Linked DNA regions of Daphnia pulex. The protein of the gene in region 1 binds, or shares a complex with, the protein of each later gene. Links are inferred from orthologs where the notes say so. Each region holds a gene or a part of one and is shown on either strand. Other genes may lie near its edges.

Region 1 (15,769 bases):
CCTTCTAAAAAACTGATCATCATGTTTCCTTCTTTTCGATTTTCAGTTCCCTCTCCTTTTTTTCAAAATGGCCATTTCTCAGAAACCGTCGGGATTTTAGCGTCTTTTTTTTTTAAACAAAAGTTGTGTGTGTGTCTCTTAACACATATATAGTCTCTCGTAGTCGATCGAATTTAGATCCTAGTCCAAATGTTCATTTTGGATTCTTCTTTTTAATTTTACAATCAAGTTATAGTCGAGCTGTTAGAACAACAATTTAATCGTTCAGTGTGTGTCTCCCCCCCCCTCCTTTTTGAGCTTCTTTCGACTAATAATTACTTAATTAGACATTATTTCTACCGAATTCATCACACCCAATCGCAATCTCTTGAAACAAAACAAAATTTACTACCAAGGAAATGACGACAGATTAATTTGACAGTTGAGAGAAAAACAAAAAAGACTCACCGCCAAACCGTATTGATATCGGTTAGCCGTGTCTCATCAATTTTTTTTTTGTCTAATATATCTTTAATAATTCTAATTGAATCACGTATATATATTATATATATATATAATCAAATCCATCCGATCATTTTGAAATCAACTCCCTGGATTGTAGTAGGAAAAATAGAAACTTTTGTTTGGGTCCATTGGGGGGGTTTGTAAAATAATCAAATAAAAACGAATCGAGTTGTCATTTAAATTTGAAAAAATTGGAAACAGAACATTTCAGTGAAGGAGTCGAAACAAAATTAAAAACCGGTGAAAATGGCGTGCAATTATTTTTGAATTTCATTTTGAAATGGAAAAATATATTTTTAATGTTGCTCAAGAAAAATTGAAAAAATTAAACACAAAAAAAGGGTTTCCCACACACTTACACACACAACTTCAAAAACTAAAATAATTTTTTTTTTACAAGATTACGCGGACCCCAAAGAATTTTTACTGGGGGTCACGCTTCACTTTTGTGTGTTACACAGTTGGCACAAAAGCCACTATCATCTTTTTTTGATTTTGTGTGTGTGGGGTGTGTAAGAAATAATGGAAATGCGGCAGGGGCAAGTGTGTGTGTGTGTTGTGAGGTCGGCCGATGGATAAGATAAAACACACACACACAGAGGACGACGACGACGACGACACTGTTATCTGCATTGCGGCGTTGTCGTCTGCGAGAAAGAAAAGGCGTACAGACAGATACACAAACACGGGCAAGGAAGTTGTGCCGGGGGGGAGAGGAAAACAACAGCAACTTAAAGACACAAAAAAGTTTTTTAATTGATTTTTTTTCTTAAATTCAATTGGATCGACGGGGTGGAAATAAATGCGATTTTTTTTGGCTGGCCAATCCCCCCCTACCATTTTTTTTGCACGTCGAAATAATAATATCACTTACAAATTTCACATCACGAACCTTTTTATCTTTAAAAATTCTTTTTATCTTTAAAACAAATTTCATCATCTTTTATCCTTTTTCTCTTCTTATCTCAAAAATTGTTGCTGATGATTTTAGTCATTGTTTAGTCTTGGAGTCTTTATATGGAGTCCTCCCCCACATTTCTAGAAAAGATATAGATTCCCCCACCCCCAATCTCCCAACCCCCCAAAAACGAACTGTGACAATTTTTTTCTGCCAACACAAAAAAAAAGAAAATTTGAAAATGAGGAAAAAAAATTTAATTCTATAATCAATACATTTTGATTTGTCTAAAAAAAAATAAAAATCCCAAAATTTTTGTAATTATTAACTGGTTTTAAAAAATAAGAGGCGGGAATTTCGATTGTAATGCACAGCGAACAACTGATGCGATTCCGGGCGCCAATAAAATGTTGGAAACATCTGGACGCCTTTTTGACAAGTCAAATTTCCCTCCACCAAAAACCAAAAAACAAAAACAAAAGAGACGCCAGAGAGGAACGACCGTGAAATTTTTGCATAAGTATAAAAATCATTTCCCGCTACTCAGAACAGCAGACACATCCCAACCAGTTTTTCTATTTTTCTTGAATAATTATTTTTGTGTTTTGTGTCTGTCGTGTCTGTTTTATTTGATAGAGAACAGGTTTTATTGTTTTTTTACTCGAATTTGTTGAATAACACTGACCCCCCTCCCTGTACAGTTTTTAGAGCTGTCGGGGGGTAAAAAATAGTTGTTGATAGAACAACGAAATCTAATTGCAATCTAGTCTGCGAATGCTTTAACACTCTTTTTTTGATACATCTTTCACCCCTGATTCCTCCAAGATATAATAATAATGGCGAGGTGTTAGTTGTGTTTCTCCCTCGATCGATTTGCCTCTAGAAGGCGCTTGTTGTTGTTGTTGTCGTCTTGTTGTTGTTGCGTGACGTCTAGAAATCATCACCGTCCGAGTGATCTAACAACTTGCTACCAACTTTTTAACACACCCACCAAGAAAAACTCTTTTTCTTTTTCATTTGGCTTATTTTTTGGATGATGATGATTGGACCACCCACCCACCCTTCACTCTCAACTCCCTTTTCTCTTTCCGTGTCTGGGCGGTTGTTGGCGCGTGTGTTGTTGTGCAGGAAGTGCGGAAGGGCCTTCCGTTTCCCCATTTCTTTTCCTCTTCTTTATTATTATGATTTTTTTTCGGGGGCCTCTCTGCTGCTCCTGCTGCTCCTTTTTGTAGAAAATGTAGACCAAATGGACTGTGTCGAATGAGAAACGGGGATGGGGGGATTTATTTATTTCATCTCTGGAGAGTCAAACATTTTCGAGCACTTGGCGATTTGAATTTGATGGAAAAAAGATTTTCCGATGATCCCCGAATAGAAGAAGAAAAAAGTTGGGCCAATACTTTTTTCTTCTTTCTTTGCCTCAGTTCGATTTCCGATGCGGCTCGTGTTGACACGTACACAAGGAGCCAGGAGCCGCCGCCTCTGTGTGCTTTGCCTCCTTACATTTATATATATACTCTCCCCCCCATAGAAATGTGTTTAATCGATACGTACAGTCGAGAGTCAAAGGTGGGGGTGTGTGGGAGAGAAGGAAGCAGGATATAGGGGGGTGGTGGGGTGGCCAAGAAAGTTCCCCACCCAACTCTCCATCCCCAACCCTGACACGTCAATAATATTTGATCCACTGCCGGTCTATCTCTCTATAGTTTCTCTTTCACTTTAATTTCACACCAAAAACTAATTTTTCCATTCCAAAAAATGTGCTAAACTTACTTAACATTCGGCTGTGCCACTCTTATTAGTCCTATTACAATTAGTTTCGATCCTGATTGACGACATTTGGATGTGTCTGTGTGTATGTCTGTCTGTGTCCGGTTTGTGTCTTTTTCTAGTGATGGTTTGTGTGGAATGGATAGGTGATTGTGGCATCTAGCGAGAGATGAGGAAGCACGAGCTGAATTTTTATTTTTATTTTATGTTGTTATTAGTTGTGTTGTTTGTTTTGTTTTTGTTTGGTTTGGTTTAGTTTTGTTTAGTTTGATTCCTTCTTATTATGATTTGAATTTTTGATTTTTGTTTTCTTTTTGCATCAAAGGTTATCCAAGTTATGGATACTTTCCGGCCGCCGCTGCCGGAGCTGGTGGTCCAGCTAATGGAATGGCCGGCGGCGGAGGCGTCGGCGGTCCTGGAGGTGGTGGTGGCGGAGGAGGTGGTGGCGGAGGCGGTGGCGGTGGCGCAGGCGGAAGCAACACTAGCGGAGGCCTCGGCGGAGGCGAAGTTTCTGTGTCGCAGCACCGCAATGGTCCAGCCAGTGCCGGCCAGCCGACGGGAGCCGGCGGAGCCACGTATTACGATTACACGGGCGCTCACGGGCACCACAACGGCGGCGTCGGGGCCGGTCCGGCCGCCTTCCATCCGCGCGGCCACCACCACCACCTCGACCACCAGCACAATCCTCATCAGGCCGCTAACATGGGCAATTCGCCTTTACTCCGCGACGCCTACACAGGCCGTTCAGGTCAGCCCCTCATTCATCTACGTCGTCAGTCGTCGTCACCCGCCAAATTCAAAAAATTCAAAAATTCAAAAACTAAAAAATTCCCGGGGAGATGAGACAATGGCCGTCGATTGATCCGCTCCTGTCCATGCGAGTGGGAGGGTGGGGGGATGATTTTCCAGTCATCATCAGAGTTTCGATTCACGCTCTCCATTGTTCTTCTTCTTCTTCTTCATCTTCTATTCCCATCCAGAAAAGAAGAAGAGACGAGAAGAGTTCGTGATTTATCAGCTGAATCTTTCTCACGATCCTCTTTTGGATTTTTGCTTCACGACTAAAAGTTTTCCCTCCGAGTTTCTTTCTTTTTTGTTTTGTCTTGGAAGGGGATCCATCACACAACTTTTCTTCTTCTTCTCCCCTTTTTTCTTCTGAGAGATGGATGCGGAATCAAGTCCTCTCCTTTTATGTGCAACATTAAGGATCTATGAAGTGGATGGATGGATGGATGAAGTGTGGTGAAAGACGTGCTGCTGCTTTGCTTTTTTTCTTTTCTTTTCTTCTTTCGTGCTTGAAGCTGCTCTTGTGTTTTATTTTTTCCTCTCGGCGTCCGATGGCGGATGGGGCCCCCGCCATGGTCTTGTCTTGTTCCGCCCGACGCGCCACTTCACCACCGCACCGTCCCATTTTCTTAATTTCTCCTTTTGGCACGTTCTTCTTCTTCTTTCCACTTAAGCGGGCAATCGAATTTTCTCTCATCCCAAGTCGTTTGATTTCATCTTACTTTTTTGTTTCTTTCGATTCTTTGCTTGTCATCGAGTTTGTTGTTTGGCTGGGAAATAGTTTTCGAGTCTAGTCGTTTCTGCGCTATTTATTAACAAAAGAGTCGAGTGGTTGGTTGGTTGGTTGGTTGATGGGGGGGATGCGCATTGATTTATCGTTTGTTTCTTCCTCTTTTAAAAATTACATGTCGCGTGTGTGTGTGTCGGCAATGTAACAAACGTCCATTTATATTTATTCCCCTATCCTCTACCCGGTCGAGAATATATATCCTACTCCTGAGGAGAGTGAACATGACGACGAGGGGGATCTCTGTTTAACACGCGGATCGATTATCTATCGATACCGTTGGGGGGCGTGGCCTATTGGGTAGGACTAGCGGCGCTGATGCCATTCATCATTTTCTCCCTCTTTTGGCGATGGCTGGCGCTGGATATGTTTCAATTACGCTGGGCCAGAAATCGCTTCGTCATGTCGATAGAGAGCTCTTAAATAATTTTTAAATGTCGATTAAGTCTGAACTATTTAGACAAATAATTTGTTTAATTTTTATTTCAGTTTATTTATTTTTCTAAATTGATTTGTGAATTTAATTTGTTTTATTTTGGGTGAATTACAGCGATGATTAGCAGTTACCCGCAGAGTTACGTCCAGCAGTCGCAAGTGGGCGGCCGCTCTTTCCCGCCTTCGCTGGCCGCTGGACTCGGCGGCCACGGTCACGGCGGCCATCACAACCCCAACGCTTCGCCAGGACCGGCCGGCGACGGCGGACTTTACGACGGATCGCTGCCCGGATACACGGCGGCGGCCGTTGCAGCCGCCGCTGCAGCCGCCGGATCACATCAGACGGCCCTCGCCAGGGTGAGTCCCACTATAAAACCCCAAAAAACATTTTTTCTGTCCCGAATTTCCCAAGGTTTTGGATGGATGGACATTGCCGGGCGGGATCGATCCAGTCGACAGAGAGAACAAAAGGGGCGACGTGGGTGGATGAGGGGGTCGGTTGAATAGTCTTTTGCCTGATCAGCACACACACACGCACGCAGGGGTAAAGGATAGGGGGGAGGTGGATGGCTGTGCGGATTGGTTCACGCTCGAGCGGCTCGAAAGTCGAGCGGATGGAAGGAGAAAAGGGGAAGGAAGAAATGATATGTGTGCAAGGCATCCAGGAAGAGAAAAAAAAGGGAAGGACGATGGATCGAATGACGGAATGGATTATCGCTAATCAAATCGGACTCGGCTCACGGGCTAAAAAGAAATTCTGAATAGATATCGCCCCTCCTTCTCTTCTCTCTGGGCCGTCTATTATGTAGCCAAAGGCACTGGACCTTTTTTCCTTCCTTCTCTTCCAGTCGGATGACTAGTTTCTTTTTATTTTTATCTCTTTTGTCCTTTCTATTCCTTCGTTCTTTCGCCTCTATATCGTTTTCGGGTCATTGATCCGGTCAAGCTTCTTCTTCTTCTTCCGCCAACGTCGCCGACGTCGTATAATCTCTAAAGCTGGCCAGGATCCGTCCCCCCTATCTTCGTTTTTGTTTGGGAGACTAAAAAAAAGGTTTTTTTATTTTTTGGGTTTTGTTTGAGCGCACAGGGGGCTGGTCGATTTCTTCTCGATCATCGATCGTTGATTGTTTCTCTCACTCAATTGTGTTTAGTCGATGTTTTTAAAGTTGATGCTGCAAGGCGAGAGACGCTGGACATTTAATTTATTCTCCCTTTTTTAATTGGAGTTGTTGTCAAATTCATTCACGCAGGGTACCCTGATTCCGACCCACTACACCAACGGCTACCATTAACAACAAAGACGATGAACGGCCAGGAGAATCGCCCCGGATGACGGCCGGACAAGAGATTGCGTCACAAATAAAAAGATAAAGAAATGGGATTCGTCTGAGGAAGCGAAAGAAGGAAGAAGAAATTGCAGACACAACTTTCAACAAAAATTACAAAACGAAAAAGGAAATTTAAAAAATAAGGTCGGAAAAAACATTTTTTTTTGTTACACCCCCTCCGTTTATTTGCCAATGTTATAACCCTCCTCACCAGAAAGCCACACACACACACACATATACCATTTTTTGATTATTTTTCTAATCTTATCTGAAACTTGTGGATAAGACGGAAAGGATAACAAGCGATCTCTCCAATTTCCCTTGTTAACTCTCGAATTAATTTTTTCGCTATTTTGACAAATATCCTCCTCCTCCGCAAATGACACGGTAGTTTCTCTCCTTCTTCTTGACTTTTTCCTCTTCGTAGTCGTAGCGAAAAAAACAAACAAAAAAATGGTAGAGGCGAAATTGAAAAAACATTTTTTTGAAATTATTTTTTTCGAATTTGGCGCGCAGCTCGTAGTCGATGACGGTAGACAAACTTACACAACTTAATCTTTACGTAGTCTTTATTTAGATAATACCCACCCCCTACCCCCTGAAAAACATTTATTATTGGACATTTTTTTTTCGACTATTTACCGAAAAAAGGGAGGGAATTTATTTCGTGTAAAAATTTGATCCATACTCAATTATCGACAACAACAAAAAAAGAGGAAAAGAAAAATCCCAAAAAAATTATCTATTTGGAATTTTTTGGGGCCTCTTTGACAATGGCCATATTATATAATATTTGCTGCTCCCACAAATTTAAACTGAACTAAAAAAAAAAATCCCATCGTGTTCGTGTGTGTATGTGTGTGTCATTTACCTGTTCAATTTCTCTGATCGTGTGTTGATTTTCCCTCTCCAATCTTTTTTTTGGATTATTTCCCAAATTGTTTCTGTTATATTCCCCCCCGCCCAATTTGTATCACGTAATCAGATGTTTTCTTTATTCCTTTTTCGGCCTTGATCCCAAAATATTCTCCAATTGAATCGCTCCGATAGACTCGGCCGATTCGAATGAATAATCCACACACACACACACAACACAGCCAAAAAAAAATTGCGAAAGAAAAGAATCAGAAGAAAAAAACGGCAGCTAAAATCAATAAATCGAGTAATAATAATAATTAAAATTTAGCTGGAACGACAAAAGGTGTGGTTTTCCCTCCCCCAAAAATTTTAGTAAAATTTTTTTTTTTTTTTTTTAATTTGTTTCGGTAGTGCCAATTTTTTTGTCAAAAAACTCAGCCGATCATTTTTGTTTGAAAATTCCTTCCTCTTGTAAACAAAATGAAATTCTCTTGGCGGCGACGACGACGACGAGACGGAAAGAAAGAAGAAAAATGTTGTTTTTTCAGGTGTGTCACAAAGGTCACGTGACGTTTACTACCGACTGTGATAGGCGGAACCAACGCCTTCTCTCTAGTAAAAACTAGCAGCTAGAGTTGAGTAAAAACAGTAATAGTAGTCTACGAGGTTTTGTTTGCTCTTATTTTATCCGCCTTCCGCCTTTTTCTCCGTCACCTCCTGGTGGGGTTCCAACAAAAATGAAAAGATTTTTACTCCTCAACTCGTTTGTTTCAATCAAAACTAAACGGATATACAACGACACACGCGCATTTTTTTACGTTTCAACTTTTTGTAGGAGGGACGGACGGTGGCGGGAAATTTGAAAAATGGAAGCGGAAATAAAGGGAAAGAAAACCCGTGGAAGTAAAAAGCAGAGAAACTTTTTTAAAAACTTACACAGAAATTAACCAGAAATAAATAACTTTTTTTTTTTTCGTTTTTTGGCTCCTCCCGAGAGATCAAACAGGAAAAAAAAAAATTTAAAAATGTTTTTAGCCAAAAAATCGATTTTAAAATAAATAAAAAGACCCAACCGAGAAAAATGTTAATGAAATCTTTTTTTGAGAGCCCGTTAGGATGTTGTTGGTAGCCGTTTCTCGCTGTAGAGCAGAGTAGTAGACACAGAGGACACAGAGAATTTTACGAAAACAAAACAAAAAAAAATCATTTTTTTATTCAACCCAATTTTTGTGTTTTTATCTCCCCCACCACCAAATTCATTTACAGCCTGAACAAAAAAAAAAGTTTAAAATTTTTTCGATGACTCGCGCCAAACACAAAAAATTTAAATCATCTCTCAGCAATTCATTTGATATGAATTTTTGATACATTTTATTCATTTGGGGTGAGAACTTAATTATTCAGCGCAGAGAGAGAGAGAGGGAAATTAAGAAAGAGAGTTTTTAAAGTGAATTACGAGCTATGCAAAATAACAAAATTTTTATTTCGAGATTACAAAAAAGTTTAGTTTTTTAGTCTTTTAATTATTTTTCGGGGGAATATGTGGCGTCGATATCAAAAGATTCTTTTTTTTTTTAAATTGTTATCCCCCACACCGCCTTTTTTTTATTTTTGAAATTTTTCATCAGGAAATTTGAAATTTTTTTTCGCGCCATTTTATCAATTTCAATTTTTTAAAAAATCGTCGATCTCGTCAAGAAGACACGCGTGTGTGTGAATGAGTTAACACTAAAAAAAAGGGAATTATATTTTTTGGATTATTTTCTTCCCCTCTCTCTCCACTCTTCTCACTCTCTCTCTCTCTCACGCTCTTTCGTTAGATGAACCTTTGCGTTTAGTGTGGCCGCATCAAGTCAAATGAAAAATAAAATAAAAAAATTAAATCACCGATTAATGACACAGGAAAAATGAATATCGATTGGATGAAAATATACGAATTTTAAAACGATGAAACACACATAACCAATCAAATACCCCTCGGCCCTTTTTTCTTCATATTCTGACATTTTCATTTGCCAAATTGTGTTTTTTTTCGACTTTTAAATTTAATTTGTTTCAAAGGGTGGAAGGGTTTTTGATTCTTTTATGTGTGCGTCGAGACGATTTTTTTTTTATAAATTGATTACAAAAAAAAAGTAGTTGGAAATTTGCGGCCGGTAGCTATTCTCCTCCTCCAAATGTGTTTTCTTTTTAATTTACCTTTCTTCAATGGCAATAATGCATTCAATTTGATGACATAACCATTCTGTTTTTCTCTTTCTCCTCCCATTATCATTATCTCTCTCTCTCCCCCCAAAACGGTTGAAAATTGTTGATCAATTGTTTCTCGTGTTGAAATTTTTTCGCCCATTTTGCCACTTTTCAATATTTTCCACCTCCTCCTCCCATATCTCTCCCCCCTTTCAAAATTGTTTTATTGTGTCTCTTTCAAATGGAGCCGCCAAGGTGTGGGAGGGGGTGGGGCTCATTTGCATGAATTCTTGCCCTACATAATAATAATATGCCACCACCAACTGACACGACAACTACAACAAAACACACAATCTCCTGAACCGAATCGCGAAAAAAAAAATAATACGAAAAAAACTCCCACCCCCTCCCCTTTTCCCCCACCCCCTGTATAACCTCAGGATTTTTCATCCCAAAACATTTTTAATTTGACAAAATGTTTGTGTGCGTTTGTTTGTTTGTTTGTTTTTGTGAGTGTGTGTGTGTGTGTGTGTTTCACATTTGTTAAAAAACACGATTTGATGATGATGATGATGATGACATAACATTTGTTTGGGTGTATCTTTATTACCACCCACCTCTCTCCCCTCCCTCAGCCCCCAACGATTTTTCAAGATGCAAAAAATTAAAAAAAAAAAAAAAAATTAATTTTCATTTTTTCAGTTTGCCAAAAAAAAAATGTTTTTGAAATTTACAAAAAATTTGAATTTTTTTTTTCTTTGAACCTTTTGCCTTTTTCCTCCCACATTTTTTTGTTTTTCTGTTTGGTGGTCAAATTAATTTTTTTTTTCTGTTTCCTCCTCCCTTCCTCCTCCATGCCGTTTGTTGAAAATGAATGGGCAATAAAATTGACAGCAATAAGCACCTTTTGTTTTTGTCCACCATTTCTTTCTAGACGTTTAGTGTCGTCACAACACAGGGTCCGACACCTCTTTTTAACTTTTCATAATTCATCGAGTGGAACAGTTTTTGTTTCGTGATTTTTCCAGGGGTGTTTACACGTGTGTGGGTGACAAGTTTCGGATGTGCTTAGAACGTTTGATGGTGGGGGTGAATAAGTAAGTCGATTCCCGTGGGATTTATTTACGACCGTGCTCTCCCGGTGGACAACTTTCTGGTTTTTATTGTATTTTGTGTCGGTAAGTTAAAAGACCGGAACCCCGAATAAACCTGCCGATAAATCTGTACCGGGAAACCGTGCAACGTGTAAGTATCTTTTTATATCTATTAAATTCTTAATCATTTCCAATAATAATTGAGTGAGCTGTGTGTCAACTCTATATTTATCTATGACGCAATCTATATCCTAGAAAACATGAATATTTCGTTCTATAAAAGAGAGAGAAAAAAGATTCTTTTGTCGACTATATCTGTGCAACTTCCGGATCAGTGGAGCGTGTAAGACCACACAACTGTGCGTTCACTATACTTTTATCTCTTTACATACATACATATCCAACATTTCCATTTGTATACTAGACAGTCTAGTATATCCAGCAGCTCTTTCTTGTCGATTGAACAACTTTTCTTCTTCTTTTTTTCTTCTGTACATTTGTTAATCTCCCCAGCAGGTACATGTATAAATAAAATCGAATGTAAAGAGTTGAACAAGTTTTGAGGGGGAAAAACGAGTCTATTGTGCGCTGCGCAATGATGAACCGATAGAAAAATGTTCAAGTTGAAGTCGAGTCTCGGGGTTAAAAAGAAGATAAGGTCAGGTTGGATCGAGTCCAAAAAGTGCTGCGAGTGGGGGAAGAAGAAGAAGAATGGGCATCAAAAGACAGACAACCTCCTCCTCCCTCTTCAAGTTCCATCCACCCACATCCAGCAGGAGGAGGAGGATCCCCCATAAAGACTCGATTCTTTTCTATCGGTTCTGTGCTGCTGATGTCAGCACAGGGGCCATTCTCTTTTCTAGTCGATGGCCAACTTCTTTTTTCTCCCCCCAAACAGATAGACGTCTATACACTTAATGTAGTACCCCCTGGCACAGTAGGACGATCCTGTGTTCCTTTGACTCTTGGCTGCATGATGATGTGGATTTATCGATGGGATGTGTGTAGTGCACAAAAACCCTTGGGCGAGGTGCCAATCGCTCAGTGTGCCACCCTCCTACTCTCTTCTACCAGTTAACCACACAGACTCCCTCGACACTCGTTGTAAAAGTTAAAGCGATCCCACTGCTGCTGCTGCTGGTTAGAAACCTAATGAAGGCAGATTGGCTTTGCCTAATATCATGGGGGGAAGGAGGAATTGAATATCATCGGCGGATGTGGCAGCTGGCCTGCAAATCCTGATGAATTCAGTTATATAGTCAACGAGCAGAGAGAGGGTTGTCTATCAATGGGCGTATAGAATTGATCCCTCCTGTTTGCTGTCTATAATCAAACTCCCCCCTTCTAGTCAGATAAGGCGGTTGCCCACATGAGCAGAAATAATCTCAATTTAGGGATTCAATTTCAGTTTTTTTTATTGTTATTCAATTACAAGTTGTGACTTTCTTTTTTCCGGCTGATGGACGAATCGACAAAAACCGGCCCGGGGGGTTGAAATCAATCAAACCCGTGACGACGGAAACATTTTTACCATAGAAGGCCTTAAAAGAAGAAGAAAGAGCTGATCGATGTGTGTCTTGATTCGATTATACACAGACAGAGCGACTGCTGGAGCTGCTGGATCGATTGCAGGAAAATCAGAATCCGATCCTGAACCCCTTTGAGTATTGTTACATTTAAAATTGGTATAGTATGTATACCAGTGTATCGTGCATTAGAGTATATTGAGTGGGAGAGAGTAGCTGGCAGGACAATGGATGCTGGATGTGTGTAGTGATGTGTCAGCGATTGACGGTCGTTGATCATCTCGGATGTGTGTACAGGGAGGGGTGGGGGATCGGTGATTTTTACACCACCAGGAGGGATTGTCTGTCAGTCTCTTCCGCTAATGAAAACAAATGAGGCGAAAAGATGTTTTGGCTCAAAGAGTCCCCCCTCTCCACTTTTTGTTGTTGTTGTTGTCCGCTTCCGGATGGATGTGTGTAAAAACAAACATCTGAGACGGTGAATGATCCGTCATATACGAAGGAGTTGTACACTATACCGGAAACATGATTATACCACGAAATGAATCAAAGTTTTCTACACACGTAACACAAAAATCGGAGGCGAAATAGATATCCATCCAGCGGCCGGATGGCGAGAGAGAGAGCCAAAATAGAAAATGAGTGATAAGGATGGCGATAGTTTGACACATTGAAGTGTGTGTGCAGGAGAAGAAGGAAGGGGATGTTATTTTTCTTGAAGGGGAAAAACATTCCCGACCTTTTAAAAAGAAGAAGGGCGGAATGCCACCACATTTAAAAAAGAATGCACGCCGAGGGGCTGCTGCTGCTGCTGTTTCGTTCCACTTGTGTGTTGCAAGGTGGAATAACAAGATGTATAGTTACTAGATTTATTTATAAAACACACACAAGTCCAGGTCCGCTTCCCCCCAACCCAAAACGTGCCAGAGACCAACCCGACCGCAGCCCAGCAGCTTTGACGTACAGTAAGGAAGAAAAACCGAAAAAATGTTTTGACAGAATATCGTTCAGGCTCATTTTCCACTTTTTCTTGAATTTTTGATTTGACGATATTATATAGTACGAGTTTAAGTGACATCAAACTAAACACACAATCATCTATCCATGGCCCTTGTGCTCTTATTCTCCCACTCATTCCATCCATCAATTTCGTCTTGTGGGTTTTTACACTTTTTTGGCTCGTCCACTTGTCCAATAACTCCGCCCACCGTTCCGCTTACGCACGCAAAAACAACAACTCTTGACGTCTTTTGTTGATTTGCCAATTTTCTTTTTCGTTTTAATTTAACACAACTTCAATTATAGATTTTTGCTATTTTATAGGCCTCCTATTTTTAATAGTTTTACCATTTTTATTTGGACAATAAAAATTTGATACTAAAGAGCGGGCGGGACTGTTTCCCGACCGATATCATACTTAAAAGTTATTCTTTGAAAAAAAAAAGAAGAAAATGATTTTCGATCCATCCGGATGCTTGTGTGTGTGTGCGGGTGCTGCAAGTGAAGGATGATGGCGTTAGGGGTTCGCCCTCTTTTCACTATAAAAAGAGAAGCCGATAGGGGGGAAAAGAGAGAGAAAGATCATAACATGTCGGCTCCACATAACATCCAGCAGCTCATAATTCTTCCGCAGCCGCTGCTACCGTCGGTCCCTCTCTAAGTGGGGGGTGTTTACTCCCATCTGCGCGATACTCCCTCCCTCCCATCCATCGGCCATTTGTATATGATATACAATAAATATATTCGTCAGACTATTTTATAGTATAGGTTGATGTCATCAAATCCAATGTGATACAATTTTTTTCTTGGGGGGTATACCTTTTTTTTTTGTCTCGGCGGATGAGTGCCTCCGGGGCAATAAACAAAACACAATCGAACTAGAGGGGGAACACAACCAACCAACAATCTTGTGTGACGATGTCTGTGTATAGTTTCTTGGACGACAGCCATTTTGGCAGCAGCTAGACCCATTGCGTTTCCGTCCACTGCTGTTCTCATCACATCGTAATCAAATGTTATTTAACGAACATCTTTTATTATTAGCGACTTATTGATTTCTTCCATCATGTCAGTCAGATCGATCATTCCGGCGTATAAATGCAAATAGTATCAGAATAAAAATCGTCGTCATAGATTTATTCTTTTCAAATTTTCGCGGGCTAAAAGAAATAGTTGCCGGAGGGGGGAGGAGGATTACTGTTATGGATGATGATGTCGTTTTCAATCGGCGATCATCATCCGCCATGCAAATGATCGGTTCCCCCCAGATCCGAAAGGAATAAAAAAAAAAAGAAAAAGTTTTATAGTCGCTGGTTGAGGCTGAAAAAGAAAATGGGGGAAAAACCATCAATTCACGTTTGCCGGACGATTGGCCACGACGAAAAGAGAAGCTCAGTACCGAACGAACGCAACGACTTTTCTTTAATGGAACGAAGCCCCCAGGCCGTTCTCACACTGGAAAATAAAAGTTGCCTCGTAAACTTTGGTGCAACATTCAATTCAGACTTGGAAAGATGTAGACATTTTTCTCTATCGAAATGGAAGATGGCATTAAATTATACCTGATAGTCCAGGGCTATATGTGTGTGTGTAGTGCAATCATCTGGGGCGGGATCTTCGCTGGGCACAGCACTAAGCATTCTTCATCCACTTTACGGTAATTTCCTTTTTTTCTATTTCGAGAGAGAGAAAAAGGGATTCCTGACGGATTAATGAGGAAGCAAATCATGTCTCTGCCGAGGAGGTTACATAGGCGCAGCTCTAGACGTCATAGAGAAAGAAGCTATGAGATGTGGCAGTTGACAGTGGAATGGCATCCGGACGACTTGGCATATCCTCAAACCAGCAGCAGAGCTCCTTTCTCTCTCGACCTCGTGTTTTCCTGTCGAGCATAGTATACGAACGAAAATTCCACTTCTGATTTATAATAATTGATTCATTCTTTGGGGTTGGTAGGAGGGTTTTAAAAGAAACCAGAAAATTGTATTTTTGAAAACAGGAAAAACCTGGAAAGCATCATGCACACAATATACTCGAAATTGTGAGAAAATAAACTCTTTCCAGACGCGCTAGTAGAATAACCTTAACCAACTCGTGAAATAGCAAACTGATTCGACGCACGTGATGGTTCAGGGGGAATATCTTTACACAGCGGAATGCTCGCTGCATGTCAAATAAAACAACCAAAATTAGACACAAACTTTTCCTTTCCGGGTAGAACCGGTAGCACCAAAAACAATATGGAAGTAAAGAAGCCACACATTTTCTTTCGATATTACATTGTCTGGTTGTGGCGACCAATTTTTTCACATAAATCAACCAACATTTTGTGCGATTTCAATATCTGCTTTTTTTAATAAATTATATATCGACTACGGCAACATTTTTGACAAGACTAATTGGAATGGGGATTTCTGGGTGAAAAAACGACGCCATCTCATTCCGTCGCTCGGCTTGTTTTGAACAACTTCCAGATCTTTTTTCCTTACCCTTCTGTTGTGTGTCTGTTTTGACCGTGTTTATGAATAATAAAATTCCCGAGACTTTTTTTTTTACAGAGTTAACGAGCTAATACAAACCGAGCTAGGAGAAAC
Region 2 (14,861 bases), on another chromosome or scaffold:
GTTTTTTTAAAAGAAAAATAACTTTGGGAGGTCAGGTCCGTTCAATCACCCCAGAAAAATTTAGTTTTTTTCTTTTTCTTCTTCAAGACTTGTTATTGACACACACACCCACACACGTAGATCAAGAGACAAGTTGGTTACATGTTTATTCGAAACCAAATAGAGATAAACACATTTCTCGTTTCTTATTCAGGCAGAGTTCATTGTTTTCCCCCCATTTGTGTGCAGCACGTCCTTTGAGGAAGGAAGGAAAAGAAGAAAAAAACATCATTAGTATAATTAATATGGAATAGTTGACCTACTTGTTGTGACTGTCGTCATTATTTGAGTCACTCGACGTTGATAAAGTGAACACAACTCGGCGGAGCAACTTTTTTCTGTATGGGGGGAGAAAGAAAAAAAGAAAAAATCAATATCTCATTTATTTCGTTCACGAAAAGAGTTCAACAAAGTTAATTGGTTTAGACGTTTCCTTGGCTGCCCAATTATTGCCATGTTATGCCGCCCCGTTTTTCGGCTCTGTCACACAACCCATCAATACCTTTTTTTTCTGTTGTTGTTGTTGTTGTCTTGTTCTCTCAACTTTTCGTCTGCTCGTAAAATTTCTTTGAACAAAAAGTTCACTTTGTGGAGAGAATTTTTATGAACTCGTGTGTCGGAACCCGTTAGCCACGGCCGGCAGATCCTTTTTAGGGCCTTTTTTTTTCAAAAACATTCCAGAGAGAGAGAGGGAAGGCCATATAGACGTCCAGAATATATACTATATGATGTACGCCCCCTTTGTTGTTGTTGCTTAGTTTGTGTCGAAAACTAAAAATAATCTGTGCCTTTTCCCCTCTTTTCCCCCCATCACCTCGTTCCGGTCCACCATAACTTCCTGGTCTCTCTTGCATTTAAAAAAGTCGGAAAACAATTGGAATGCATACGCATTGAGCTCTGGGTTCCATTTTGTCACGCACTCCCCCCCAACAATACTTATGAAAAAAATAATAACTAAAAGAGAAAAAATGACATGTGTTTCTTTTTTATTTTTTTGTTTAAAATAAAACAGGAAATCAGAGACATGCTGAACGCCCGAGGACTGAAATCTTCCAGCGTGACGTTATCACCGTGCGGATCGGGTCCCAACTGGGCGAGAGCAGCGCCTGTGAACGCCGAAAGTCAGCCAGATTTTTGGGAAGAATGGAAACAATTGTGCATCCGTGACAAACTGGACGCTTGCACAATCCGAGGGCACAAGATCTCGCTGAGCCCATCACCGACTGAAAACCTGCTCTGCGTTGCCCGGCTGCCACGCGATCTCCTCGACGACGAGTTCAAAGAGCTCGTCTCTTCGTATGGTCCAGTTCGCCGTTGCTTCCTACTCTACAGCGACAAAACCGGTTCGCATTTCTTTCTTCATCCCTTCCAGTTGAAATTTATATTTTCTTTTGATGCAATGAAAAAAAGATAATCTAAAATTTTAAAAAAGTGTACAGTTAGTTTTTCAATTGACTTGACACACATCTAATCTTTTTTTTTCTTTCTTAAAATTCTCCTTGATGGGGATGACAGGCGAGAGCAAAGGCTACGGATTTGTTGAATATCAAAGCAAAGATTGCGGCCAGCGCGCCCGAGCCCAGCTCGATGGAAGAATCTACGAGGGTCAGGCATTGGCTTGCGATTGGCTCGACACTTCAATCGTCACCCTCGCCGGTCTCCACTCCAAGTTGCTCTACGTCGACTGCCTCCCGGGCGGATTCCGAGACATGAGCCAATTTAGGACGCTCTTTTCTCAAGTGGCCAATCCACCATACTGCCAGGTACTACTACTAAGACGTTATTTCTAATATACTAACTTTACCCAGCCGCTCAGCTGCAGCAGCAGCTGCTACTTGTGCTTTGCAGGCTGCATCTGACAGACGACAGATGATGGATATTCTCTAATATTTCTCTCTCTCTCCCCAAAAGACCTCCATGGCGCGCTTGTACATTTATTTTCGAATATTATTTATTTATAGATTGCGCTGAAAGGTGGAGCTCCTCAAGATTGGGGTCTGGTTGAATTCTCGCAAGCCCAGGAAGCCGAGGATACACTCCGAGTCCTGGACGGAAAACTCTTTCATAACTCACCCATCAGGGTGGCTTTCTTTATACCCGGTGTTAGGGCCATCAACATTTACATGAAGCTTCTGAACGACACGGTATTTGATTTGATTTATTTTTTTCTGGCTATACATTTTAATCATTTTGTTTTTCTCTCTTTCGACGTTTCATCAGTGTCAGAATAAAGGCAGAGCTGCTCTGTTACCCGAACCACCAAGCGATACCGTCTTCCATCAATTGCAAAACCTGACCAAACAGAACCCTGCATGTAAGTAGACGTACGCGCAGTGAAAAGTGAAAAAAGAGAGAGGAAACACTATTATAGCGATATACAATAGTTTCGATCCATCGATTTTTCTCTTTTCCCCTCTCTACTCCTAGCAGCGAATGGTAATCTCCATTTTATTGAATTTATTTTTTTTTTCTCTCTTCCCATTGTGTAGTTGTTCACAGTCTGCAGAATATCATCCTAACGCAAATACAACATCTCAACAACCCGGCAAACAGTACGAGCTCAGGCAATTCTAGCAACACTTCGGGGGCGGCGCTAACTGGGGCCCAGAGGGCTCAGTCTGGCCACCACCAGCAATCCGGCCAGCACCACCACCACCAACAGCAGCAGCAAGCTAGCAATGCTTCGCTAGCAGCCAGTGCCCAGGCGGCCCTGTCGATGCTCTTGGCCGCCCAGCAGACCACGCAACCGAGTCCGGCCGGTAGCTGCAGTAGCAGTGGTAGCAGTGGTTCTCTTAGTCACGTTAGTCCTCCTCCACAACAACAGCAGCAGCAGCAGCAAGGGCCAAATTCTTGTTCCCAACCGCCACCAGCTGCTGCTGGTAATAGCCGGATGATTCCATCGCAGTATGGAAACAGTTATCGACCAGCAACTTCTACCACCCAAGCTCAGCAGCAGCAGCAGCAGCAGCAACAACATCAACAGCAGCAGCAGACATTCCCATGCGGATTGATGGAAGCTCCGCCGTTGAATATCAACGTACCGCCGCCACCTTTTCTTTATCATCGACCACCAGAACCCACTCGACCTCTACCTCCGCCGCCTCCGCCACCTCCCCCTATGCAGATGCAGGAACCTGCGGCTGTCAACAACCTGCAGCAAACACTGTCGGCCCTCCTGGGAACGCTCAGCACGGCTGTCCAGTCTCTCTCGCCCAACTCTAGTGCACCTCCTTTGACTCAACAACAAACGGCGGCTGGAGCCTTGCTCGGTCTTCTCCTTCAAATGGTTCAACAGCCCAACAATTCTCCCCCACAGCAACAACAACAACAACAACCGTCGCCGCTGGCTCCGCTGAGCCTGACGACCCTGAATCACGACACGAACGCTTCGTATGGGAATCTCGGCGGTCTGCTGACGACAGCGCCTCCCGGTGGCCCTTATGCCAACTACCTCCCACCTCCGTCACTCAACCACAGCCCATCATCGTCTTCTTGTCAGTCGTCGCTGTCGTCGACATCTTCCCTGGGCGCTTCCACGAATGTCGGTACCTGGAACCACATTCTGGGGCAAGTTCGCTCTCTAGGAAGTGGCGGTCCCAGTTCGTTGGGTTCAGCCGGTTCCAGGGGCTCATCTCCGACTTCGTCGTCCAGTCCCAGCACAAGCCCAGCTCGTGGAACAGCTATTTGCGTGGGCAACAACAACAATTTCGCAACGCCCATTCAGCAGCAGGGCACCAAACGGAAATACAGTAACCACGTCTTACCATCGCCTGAGCCTTCTCCGGAAGCCGGATATATCGGCCAGCACTCGCAAGGCCTTGGCGGACACTATGCTGACTCTTATTTTAAGAGGAAGAAGCGAAACTGAAAAGTTTTGTCCCTTCTATAAACACACAACTTGTTTTAAAAATACCAACCGTATTGGTGACAATTTATTTGGCATTTTTAAATCTCCATTTTAATGATCTTCAATTCGAACCCTCTCTTTTAAATGTTTTAACGTTATTATTTTACGTGCGCCATTTTTTGATTTTTTTTTTTTAATCTAAGACGGGGCCTTATAAAACCTTGTGTGAACATAGTGATTGTAAAAGAGAAAAAAAAAATCGGCTCTATTCATGTGTAAGAGGTAATTAATCGAGGCCCTTTTAATCCAGACGGCAGCTCTACCCGATTTCAATTTTAAATTATTTTTAAAAACTGAAAAAGCAAAAGAAATAAACGAGCAGCTGAGGCGGTGTATTTGTAATTACCTTGCCAATCCCTCCCCCCCGTTACTTATATATATAACTCCATCTATTGGTGGCTTATCCCGAATATGTCTTGCGTTTTTACTTGTCAAACATTTTTTTCCTTCAAAACTTTTGAATCGCCCGACTTTTGGTTTCCTCCACTTATTGTGTTCCCCCTCCCCCCTCCAATTTGCATTTTAATTTAAGTTAATTAAACACTTATTGTTGACTCCCAGGATCCTCCAAACAAGGCTTTCATGTACGTGAAACTATTCTTCCGTGTCTCTGTCAGGCTTTTTTTTTTTTGAAATTCAATTGAAATTCAAATTTCTTAACTTCATTTTCAATGGCTTTATTCAACTGTTGAAAAACAAATTGTCTCTTTCTCTCCGATGCGCGTGTGCGCTCGAAAATTGAATCTTCTTTTCCCACACATATCTGCACACGAAATAAAGCGTAATCGTCGGTCATTTTACCCTCATGTAAAACTGGAAATACAGAAAAAAGAATAAAACAAAACCAAACAAATATCTTAGAATGTTTCAAAAAATCATTTGTAATTATCATTAATTAATGAGCATCTCCTAGACGTGTGTTTTCTTTTTGATTGGGACGGAGAACGTCAACATTGAAAAAAAAAATATGCAATAGGCTAATAGTGTCATAATTGGAAGGAAAATAATAATAAGCTCATTAACAAGTAACTTCCAAAATAGAAAATGTATTAAGATGCAATCACTTTAGCTTTGTGATTCTTCTCCATCTCTTGCTGGCGGACCCTGGTGTAGGCGGCGCTGCCGAAGAGTACCACCCAATTGGATATCCACCAAAGGAAAGGTTTAACTTCGCTGTACCAGTAGGTGGCCAGCACCGTCTGTGCGCAAGCTTTGGCTGTACCGGAGATGTTGTGTGTGAGAGGTGAGGTCACTTGAATCTGGAGACCAGTAACGTAGCCGATGGCAAAACCAAAAACACCTCCAGCTACCATCATGGACCAGAACGTGAGGTTGCCATAGCCTTGGAAAGATATCAACGTCGGTAATTCCCCATTGAGCAGCATCAACGGCAAAAAGAGGAGACAGGCATTCAAATTGTTGTAATAACCCAGCAACCAAATGCTTTGATCCACGAATGGCAACACTTTTTTTGTGTAAATGGAATTGAGCGACACGAAGAGAGAGGCTAGCACCCCGTAGATAGTCCCCGAAATCGATAGAGATCCTGCATAATAAAATGATTTAGCCAAGTTTTCAAGTTTTAAAAGGGAAATTCCAACAGTTCATTGACCCACCGGCTACGCCCTCTTGGTCGACACCGAGCCAAAAACCTCCGACAATAATGGCACAACAGACAAGGGCACTAAAAGATGTCCTTTCGCCTATAACGCAAAAGAAATAAAAAAATTTTACTTTTAGATTTTAAACAACCGACGACAGGAGTTGATCTCACCCAATAAAACCCATGTCATCAAAACATTGAATACTGTGGTGAGGGATCTCCCAATGTAGTAGAATGCTACACCAACATATTTCAGGCACAAGTTGTTAAAGGAAATCATGGCCACAAACACCAAAGATAATGGAAGAACCTGAATATGAACAAGAGATCAAATAAATGCCACAAAGAGACAAGAGTCTGACAGCAATGAATACCTTGAGCATAATTTGTACGTCCAAACCAAGTTCTGGAAATTTACCCAAACTAGGGAAAAATTTGGCTCCACATGCTAGGAAAACACATAGACCAACTGTAACGACACATTGAAACCATGTGACAAACAAAGGAGCGTCAACTGTGGTTCCATTTGTACTTCCGCTCAGCAAGGCCTTGTTAATGAACACCAATGATATAGACACGGCCCTAGAAAATTAAGAAAAATTAAGCCCTGACAGTTCCCGATTCATAAAATTAATCTTACCAATATGCTGAGACAACTGCAAATATTTTCAGGTATTTCTTTAAAAGGGATTCTTCAGCTGTAGCTTTTTCCATCTTTCTCTTGAAACTAGGAGAACTGATTGTTAAAGACGAGTGCTGACGTGGATACATCAAAAACGGAACGAACTTGTGTCCAACCCTTTACCAGCCCAGTTTTAGATACTACTAGGCTTTTTAGGGATTTTCCTGGGAAATTCGAAGGAATGACAGCAGTCGTTAAGTTCACAGAGAATAATGGTTGTCTTTATGTTTTTGTGTACATGTGGCAAACATCTGTGCATAATGGGCTGAGTTCCGACCCATTGTTTTGAACCGATTGCAGATGACGCTGTTGCTCCTTTTACGTAATAAAATCTCCCTTTGGTAGATGGCGCGGTCAACGGATAGCAGACCACTTTCTGTAATTAATCGTGATTGAGCAAGGAAATCCTGTTACCAGCTAATTTCATGAAAGGTTTTAAATATGTCGAGTAACTTTCGTTCAAACCTTGGTCAATTACATTTTAAAATTGTACTTCTCGGTGAAGGTTGCGTCGGCAAAACTTCTCTTGGTAAGTTTAAAATTGATATTTTGAATGACATTTTGCGAGGACTAATTTGAATGACTAGTCCTCAGATATGTCGAAGATAAGTTTCACGAAAAACATTTCTCAACAATTCAAGTAAGTTATTTCATAAAATTTGATGTTTTTCAAATGACAATGAAACATTAATTGGATTCAATTCAAAGGCCTCCTTCTTGACTAAAAAAATTAACCTGGAAGGACAAAGAGTGACTCTGGCCATTTGGGATACAGCTGGTAAATACAGATGACATCTTATCAATCAAATGTAGTCTAGAAAATTTCTTCAACACTTGTGATTGTTTGTTTGTTTATTAAGGTCAAGAAAGATTTCATGCATTGGGACCCATCTACTACAGAGATTCTCATGCTGCCATCCTTGTTTATGACATCACTGACCAAGATTCCTTTGTAAAGGTAGTATAGTCAAATATTATTTCAAATGAAGAGTGTGTATGCAATGCAATTGTTTTCTCATTGAAAGGTTCAAAACTGGGTTAAAGAACTGAGAAGGATTCTAGGAGACAAAGTAGTTTTGGCAATTGTTGGAAACAAAATAGACTTGGATAAGGAAAGAAATGTTCCAGCAGAAGAAGCCTTAGAGTAAGATACATGTCATATTCAATCATCAGTTTACTTAATCAACATTTCCAACCCCTTTGCCTATACAAAAAAGGTATTCCAAATCGGTTGGTGCTACACATTACCAGACTTCGGCCAAGACGAATCGAGGCATTGAGGAATTATTCTTGGACGTAACTCAGCAGCTTTTGAGGATGGCAGAGAGTCAGAATGAACTCAATAGTTCCACAAACTTGACTAGTAATCGCAATCCAGAAGTGGTTATTGTTGACGATAGTCTCGCCCCCAAAAAATCTTGTTGCTAGTATCGTTTTATTCCTCTATCTCTCACACACACACGCTTCTACTTATTATTAAATGAACGTTTCCTTGTTATAATTCTTTTTTTCCGTTTCACCCCTCAAGTTAATTGTAAAAAAACTAGAGTTTCGGAAAAATGTTCTCTAGAGTCATGGTGATTGTGGTGTCGCATTATCCGTGTCAAGAAAATTGTTGGCGAATGAGCAATCAGGTCGTTATATAGTCACTCTTGTGACGGGATTTCTTTTTTCTTTTGTAATTATCTGATGGAATGTTGTATTATTTTTAAAAAATGAAAACCTCAAATACAGATACAATAACAGTTCGCTCTCTGTATAACGCACTCTTAAACTAAGAATAACTTTTGCCTTCCTTTTTTGTTGTTTTGTTTACAGGGCCAAGGTTGTCCGAAAGGTGAATGAACGATCCCTCCGCCCGTCATTATTACTACGGCCCAGGAAGACCAGATCGTCCCTTCGTTTCATTTGGTAAGGGTTTCAAGACCGAAGCGAAACCGGTCTTGGGCTGTTTTCTCTTTTTAGAAATATTGTGGTGTGTGTGTGTGTATATTTTCGTTCGTTCTTCTTCTCCCCTCCCTCTTGGTCGAGCAAAGGTTCAGCCCCTAAAGCTAAACACATAGCTACGCCAGTCATGCGGGAACTAATCGCTAGATGGCATTGTTTTGGCATCTGGCGTTTCGCGGTTTGTTTGCAAAATAGAGAAAAATTGGCGGCGATTTGAACGCGGCTCAAGCACTTCCGCACGTGCTTCTTTCAATTGCCGCTGATTATTCTTCTGTTAATTTCATAGAAATTAAACGATATTGAGTCGAGTAACCTCAATGGCCGCCTCTCTGGCACTCCCAACAACCTCCCCTTCCTCCCCCTGTGAACGGAGGAGAGATAGCGTCGAGGGTATGCAGCTCCTCCCTCCCTCCCCTTCCTACTATTATAACAACCCGGAGAACCTTCTCTCTCTCTCTCTCTCCCTCCATATGTAGGGTTCTTTTTAGGCCATTTCGGCCTTGGGTAGAGCTGTGTACTAGCAGGAGCAGGAGCTCAGGGGTTGTTCAACCCTGCTCACGTAACTCAGTCACCAAACAAACTTCCACGCATTCACTCGTCGTGTGCCATCTCTCGAACTGGTTTAAGGGACCTTATCTTTAACAGGTAAGATTTTACAATCATCTAAAAATAGTTTTTCATTGATCGTCCTTCAATTCGGTTATGGCTTGTTTTAAAACTGCATCGTTTCCCCCACCAAAAAATTCAGTAACTAAGGAAGTAGAGGGTTGACATGGCTTTCGTCCGACACGCTTCGGAGAAACCTACCCTACGGGATGGGAAAAATCAAGAGTCTATCAAAATATAAAATATGGCGACTGAAAATGGGTCGTGGTTAGTTACGTTCATCATTTTTGTTTTGGGGTAGTAGAAAAGAGAGACAATGAAAGAAATTCGGATGAAAACAAGGAAGTGGTCCGTATGTGTAGGCCCAATGAAAAATAAAAGTCGTCATGAGACCGAGCTGTTGGAGTGAGAGACTTTGTGTGTGGTGTACTGTGTGTGTGCTGTGCACGCACTTTGTCCCAACGTTCAATCTCATTATTATGTATTTTCTCCCTCCCCTCCTAGGGACAATGTCTCCCCCCTCTACTAGCGCATGTTAAAATGGTGAAACAACTTTTTATTTTCTTTTTTAACTTTCCCCAAATTTTTGTTCAGGCGTTCCGGAAGCGAGAGATGCACTACAGAACCCAGCAGTTTCGAACCCGAAACTATTCGACTTTTAGAATTTATTTTTAGGAAGGAATTTCGTTACAAGGCTGGAGTCTTCGGAGACTGTCGACAACAATTTGTCGAACAAGAAACCCAGTCATCATCCAATTCGACCGCGGAAAAATAAGAAAATGTTCAGTTTTCACAAACCAAAAATCTACCGTTCGGGGACGGGCTGCTGCATTTGCCGTGCAAAATCCAGCAGGTGAATATTGATCGCGCAATTTTGATTTCATTTTGTGTATCGCGGACCCGATCAAGTTGATTGGTGGCTACGTCCGTTGTGAAAGGGAGAGAAGAAGAAGAAGCGAACCAGCAGCTATGATCGATAAAAACACCCCTTCACTCCGCCCCTTTTTGGGGAAGAGAAGCGGAGGGGATGGTTACGGTTCGTGACCCGAATTCGACTGGAACGCACTCTAGCGGACAAAACCGAATTTGAGTTGCATCTATTTTGAAAAAAATAAAAATGTTTATTTCTTCAAATCCAACAGTTCCAGGTTTACCGATTCTGGGAAATATCAGCCGTATTTCGAAGCTTGTTTTCACCTGGAAGAGGAACGCTCGGGTGACATTTGTAACGCTTGCGTCTTACTTGTTAAACGCTTTCGCAAGCTCCCGACCGGATTGCTGCGGCACTGGGGCCATGTCAGTTTGATCAAATTAAAAAAATGCATTAAGAAATTTTACATTCATTGGATATTCAATGTTGCAGGTAGTCGATGCCCGGGCCAATACCAAAGTCCGTCCTAAAATATCTATAGTGCAAAAGGCTAACCAGCCTGAAGATGAAGAGGAAGGAGGTGTTGACGACGGCGATGATGATGACGACATAAAATTAGTCTCCAAAGTAATTCGCAAGAAACGTCGAGAAAAACGAGAAGAAAAACACTGGAATCGCACTCGCAGTAAAATAATAACCAAAATAGAAAACCAGATGCCTAGTTTTCTCGACCCTCAGTTGTGGCACAGGTGAGTTTCGCTTGAATTGATTTTAAGACAAGAATTAATTTTGTAATAATGATTTTACAGAGAAACTGTTTGTTGCGGAACCATTTTCCGTGGCCCGATGAACGCCATCGTGATCGACACAAATAATTTTCGACCGTGTTTGGCTCGTCGGTCAAGTCGTGAAGAATCAATCAGTTCATCTTCGCCCAGCGGAGGAGCCAGTCCTTCTAGTAGCGATTCGCCTGTTGCCTCGTCGTCACAAATCCATTACAAGGTGGACACCGACAAGGGGAGTGGATGCGATTCAGAACCAGAAACGGCAGAGTTTGACCAGCCGTTTGAGAGCCAAAACGGCCATTCCAAAATGGCAGTACCGGCCGCATTTTAGTAACAATTTAAATTTTTAAATTTAGGCGCGCTTCCTCCTTCCGCGACGCGAAAAAAAACCCAAACCTGAATTTTTTAATCCAAAATGAACAATAGACCCCAATTTCTTTGACGGGCCATTCCTTCTTTTACAAAAAGAAAAAAAGGAATTCGGCTTTTAATAGTTCAATTTCGTTACAAAAACAAAAAATGCCCAAAACCCATCCCAGTGTTCATCTAGTATCGTGTGGTTGGTCTTTTTTCTCTCTCCCAAAGAGAACAAACACAAATTAGTTCAAATGTTTAAATTTAATAATTAACACTTTACGTCTCACGTACTTTACAAAATAAGACAAACAAAAATAAATAAAAAAAAATGGCTCTGTGCGCGTCACTGTACTCTGTGCAGCTTAATTAATCAATAGTCGTGGTTGTGTGTTTTCTACAACGTTTGTTAATGCAATGCTGCAATAAACGAACAAGTATCGTACCAAAATTCGCTTCTATTTATTACTGTAATTTCAAGAACGTTTCAATCTTTTCAGAATGTTCATTTGTACGGAAGAGTCATTTAACCGGACTAAAAGAGGGTCTTCAGGTACTTTTTCTTCAATTTGTGAAGGGAACTTCCAGCTATCCATCTTTTCCAATTCATCGGGAAGGCGGTGCAAGCGAGCACGGATCTTGTACGCTTCGTGATGATTGGCCGAAATTTTCTTTACTTTATCGCCAGCCGGACGGAACAAAACACACGGATGGTGGTAGGCGTAATAGGATCGTAAGTTGGCCAACGTCTCCTCAGTCAAAAAGACTACTTTTACTTCACGCATAATCACGTAATCGTTCACAAAAATCTGTAAAGAATTATTAAGTAATTAATTCGAATTGAATTGGACAAAATTTAGTAACGGGACTACGTTTTGTGTTTTGATTGTTTTCCAGTGTTCGGGTTCAAAAATGGCGAGTCCTAAGAACCCGAAAGAAGGTTTTCTCTCATTTGGGTCGGTGTTAATTTGCTCGATCTCTGGTTCAGACTGATTAGCCGTGGGTTGCTTTTGGAGTGTAAAAATAGTGCCGTCTCGAACGCACAAAAAATTTAAATCTGAAGAGTCATCCGATATACTGACTACCTAGAAAAAATACAATTTTGACATTGATAATTTTCTTTCAAAAAAAAAGAATCCATCCAGGTTTGAATGATATACTTGGCAATACAAGTCGCAGATGAGTTCATCAGATAATTCCCTAAAAGTACGAATGCCTGGATATCTGGAAAGAAGATGATAAATTGGATGTGGCGTGACATAGTCGAAAAACCGATGGTTTAACGTCCACCAGTGGCTCAAAACGCGAACAACGGCTGCTCGGTCATCAAAATCTAGAACGAGATACACGACATTATTAATTAAATACTTGAATGATAGAGCTCAGATATTACTTTCGCGGAGAACAGGTGCTTTACTATCAGGATGACAATAGACGGTGACATCTGTTTTGTTGAAGACCCGTCCATCACAACGATTTTTATGAGTCTCTATCTGTGGTGAAATCATTGCAAGATAAAAATAACATTCAACCTAGCTTAAATGCAATTTAATATAAATACCTTACCTTGACATTGGTAAATCGAACGACATCACCTCGATGGAATTCTGGATGATCTTCTAATGTATTGAAGAATAGGGACATTTTGAACTCACCAGGGGCTTTATCCTCTTCTTCTTCATCACCAGATGCAATCATGATGAGAGATGGGTCTGAAATGCAAATTAGAGAATGCCAGGAGCTTGTTGTCTTTGTTGGAAGTTTATTCACAGCTGTGACAACACCAAAAATCTGCAACCGGCTGGATGTGAATTCAATATCACTCAAATTAGAGTGATTAAATGGAGCCTTGTATCTATCTTTGATTGTTGCACTGGATAATTGGTTCATGTTCTTAAGCAACTGAAGATTGCTATTTCCCTTATCAACTGACTTTCTTGGAATAATAAGTTTGTTTTCAGCATTACTGACTACAAATTTTCCCACAACCTTGCGTTGTTTTGTCAGGAAATAGCAAACAAGTCTTTCTTTTGTTGCTTCGGCCTGTGGCATTAAACAATTTGAACTTTCTCCACTCTCTATAAACCATTCGGCAGTTTCTGTAGCTGGTAAACATGACTTGTAGTGGGAAAGTGATGTCTTAACTTTAAGGAACTCATCTTGATTTAGCTTGTGAAATGGAGAGTTGAGGCTGGAAGTGTTGGTTTGGAACACCTTACACAAAGCTTCAAGGAGAGATGATTTGCCTTGTTGATCACATTTCCCCAAGAATGAGCTGTTTGTCACATTATAGGAATTTCCAGAGAAAGTAAAGGATTGCATGTGGTTAGGATTAGAATAAAAAAGGCACTTGGAATTTGTTGTATTCCACTCATGAAATTTCATTATAAAATTTAAGACTGTTTAGAAAACAAACACAAGAAATGTCAATTCCGCGCCATTGTAGCAGACTAAAAATTCAAACTTGTTATATTAGCAGGATGCTACTAATCAGCGGATACGGATAAGCAAATTTACTTTTTGGCACAAAAAACCGAAAAAACTTATAATTAGTTAATTAATTACAAACATATTCATATTCACATAAGATATGCTAGTAATTATATCAAGCAAAGAGCTGAGAGTCTGAAGCAGTGAATATTTATTCGTGAGAGCCCGTTCTACAAAAGATAACGCATTTTAAATTAATTTATCATTCACAATTATTTGTTTGGTCTAAAATCAATCTAGAATCGATAGTTAGTACATTGATGTAAAAACTAAAAACACATGAACAAGGTATAAAATAATTTCTTCAACAATTAATTAACAAGCGCGGGCTCCTGGCTTCGTATAAAGTCAATGTTTCTATTGCGAATATTGAACCGCACAAACAGAAGTATTACTATAGAAATCTGTATTCATATTTTATACAAAAAACTAACCCTGCTGGAATGTGTGTTTCCTTGCCGTTAAAACTGTCTTAACTGATATTTAATGTTACTCACAACTTCACAAGCAACCATTAGAAAATAGTGTAGCTGTAACTCCCGTTTAGTATTGTGCTTAGTGATTTTTATTAAAGAGGTAGATGCATAGTAGAATTTAGTTCAACTTATATTTAATCTAAAGATATGACAATAAAGACCATTATAGAAAGCAAAAAATTTCATAAATTGATCAAACACCTCAGCCATTCACTCACAAAACTGTAGGCAATAACATTTTGCTTACGTAAAAAAGGGCTTAAAACGATGTAAATCACTAACTAAAGATCTGTTCAGTTGCGCGTTCTAAATCCCAGTCACACGAGGAAAGTGATGCTCGTGCGTTCATTTCTGTTACACCAAGATCTTTTAGTCGCCGAATTTTGTTCTCATAGTCAGGATTAACGGAAGGACCTAGTTGAGACAATTAAGGAACTAAAATCCCATTCAGGTAAAAGTAATTGACATGTTCTTGTTCACCCACCTCCTGCATAAGCATTTGCCCAGTGTTGAGCTGTGAGCTGAAAAATCTGAGGCTTATCTTTGCATTGTCGGGCAACTACTGCATCTTGAGGATCATCTGGTTCTGGGGAGGCCAATAATGCTTGCAAAGATAAGAGGACAGTTCGTAGAGTCATAGCTGCAGCCCATTGATGCTATATTGACATACATGGCATTAAGAACTATTTTAACTTATTTATTAAGAAATTACTTTTAGAATGTCAAGGCAGATAGCTCCAGTTACTGAAGAAACATTCGGATGCCAAATTTTGGTGACAAACCGAACTTTGGGAGGGTTAAAAGGATATGTCTCAGGAATCTTGATTTCTAATTGGAATCTTGCACCTTCATATGGAGTATCAGGTGGACCAGCTATCTCTCCCTTCAATTCAGCAAAACTTTCGCCGACCAGTTCAACATGGATAGAACACCTTGCGACCTATCAGAAATAGAATGCGTAATGATGTTTTTAAAAGTCATTTTAAAAAATTGTATTTTAAATGTTACGATTACCTCATCACTGTTTAAAACTTCTTTCAACTCTCGTTTAATACGTTGCACAGCGATGTTTGCCATGACTTGGGTTATTCAATCTTCAAT

What was found.
Region 2: the proteins of rab5 GDP/GTP exchange factor-like (region 1) and ras-related protein Rab-21-like are in contact, whole or in part, in a crystal structure (PDB 2OT3), measured with the Homo sapiens proteins. The link is inferred for Daphnia pulex from reciprocal best matches to the Homo sapiens genes RABGEF1 and RAB21. Residues at the interface, in NP_001273991.1 of Homo sapiens: Leu253, Cys254, Lys296, Phe299, Asn300, Lys303, Pro309, Ala310, Ser311, Ala312, Asp313, Phe315, Leu316, Pro317, Ile320, Leu347, Met348, Thr349, Gly350, Glu351, Gly353, Tyr354, Tyr355, Thr357, Asn358, Cys360, Cys361, Ala364, Phe365, Ser373; in NP_055814.1 of Homo sapiens: Ser19, Phe20, Lys21, Gly26, Glu27, Gly28, Lys32, Thr33, Leu37, Thr50, Thr51, Leu52, Gln53, Ala54, Ser55, Phe56, Ala71, Trp73, Asp74, Thr75, Ala76, Gly77, Gln78, Arg80, Phe81, Leu84, Ile87, Tyr88, Asp91.

What each region holds. Positions count from the first base shown.
Region 1 is NC_060026.1:15,792,795-15,808,563, reverse strand, and holds the start of rab5 GDP/GTP exchange factor-like, read left to right. Parts: upstream 1-6,476; 5' UTR 6,477-10,801; intron 10,802-15,400; exon of another isoform or gene 15,401-15,733; 5' UTR 15,734-15,769. UniProt on the Homo sapiens protein: Rab effector protein acting as linker between gamma-adaptin, RAB4A or RAB5A. Involved in endocytic membrane fusion and membrane trafficking of recycling endosomes. Stimulates nucleotide exchange on RAB5A. Can act as a ubiquitin ligase.
Region 2 is NC_060020.1:1,402,914-1,417,774, reverse strand, and holds ras-related protein Rab-21-like, read left to right. Parts: upstream 1-6,576; 5' UTR 6,577-6,672; coding exon 6,673-6,760; intron 6,761-6,818; coding exon 6,819-6,871; intron 6,872-6,939; coding exon 6,940-7,009; intron 7,010-7,091; coding exon 7,092-7,189; intron 7,190-7,256; coding exon 7,257-7,375; intron 7,376-7,448; coding exon 7,449-7,659; 3' UTR 7,660-7,979; downstream 7,980-14,861. Other genes in the region: ribonucleoprotein PTB-binding 1-like, read left to right, coding at 1,052-1,382, 1,555-1,802, 2,001-2,183, 2,260-2,353, 2,529-3,907; GDP-fucose transporter 1-like, read right to left, coding at 4,996-5,492, 5,563-5,649, 5,721-5,859, 5,924-6,131, 6,190-6,320; SIN3-HDAC complex-associated factor-like, read left to right, coding at 9,564-9,637, 9,927-10,080, 10,148-10,404, 10,465-10,771; uncharacterized protein LOC124192199, read right to left, coding at 11,271-11,603, 11,667-11,879, 11,955-12,127, 12,188-12,287, 12,361-13,179; ubiquitin-conjugating enzyme E2-22 kDa-like, read right to left, coding at 14,038-14,174, 14,245-14,416, 14,473-14,700, 14,775-14,837. UniProt on the Homo sapiens protein: The small GTPases Rab are key regulators of intracellular membrane trafficking, from the formation of transport vesicles to their fusion with membranes.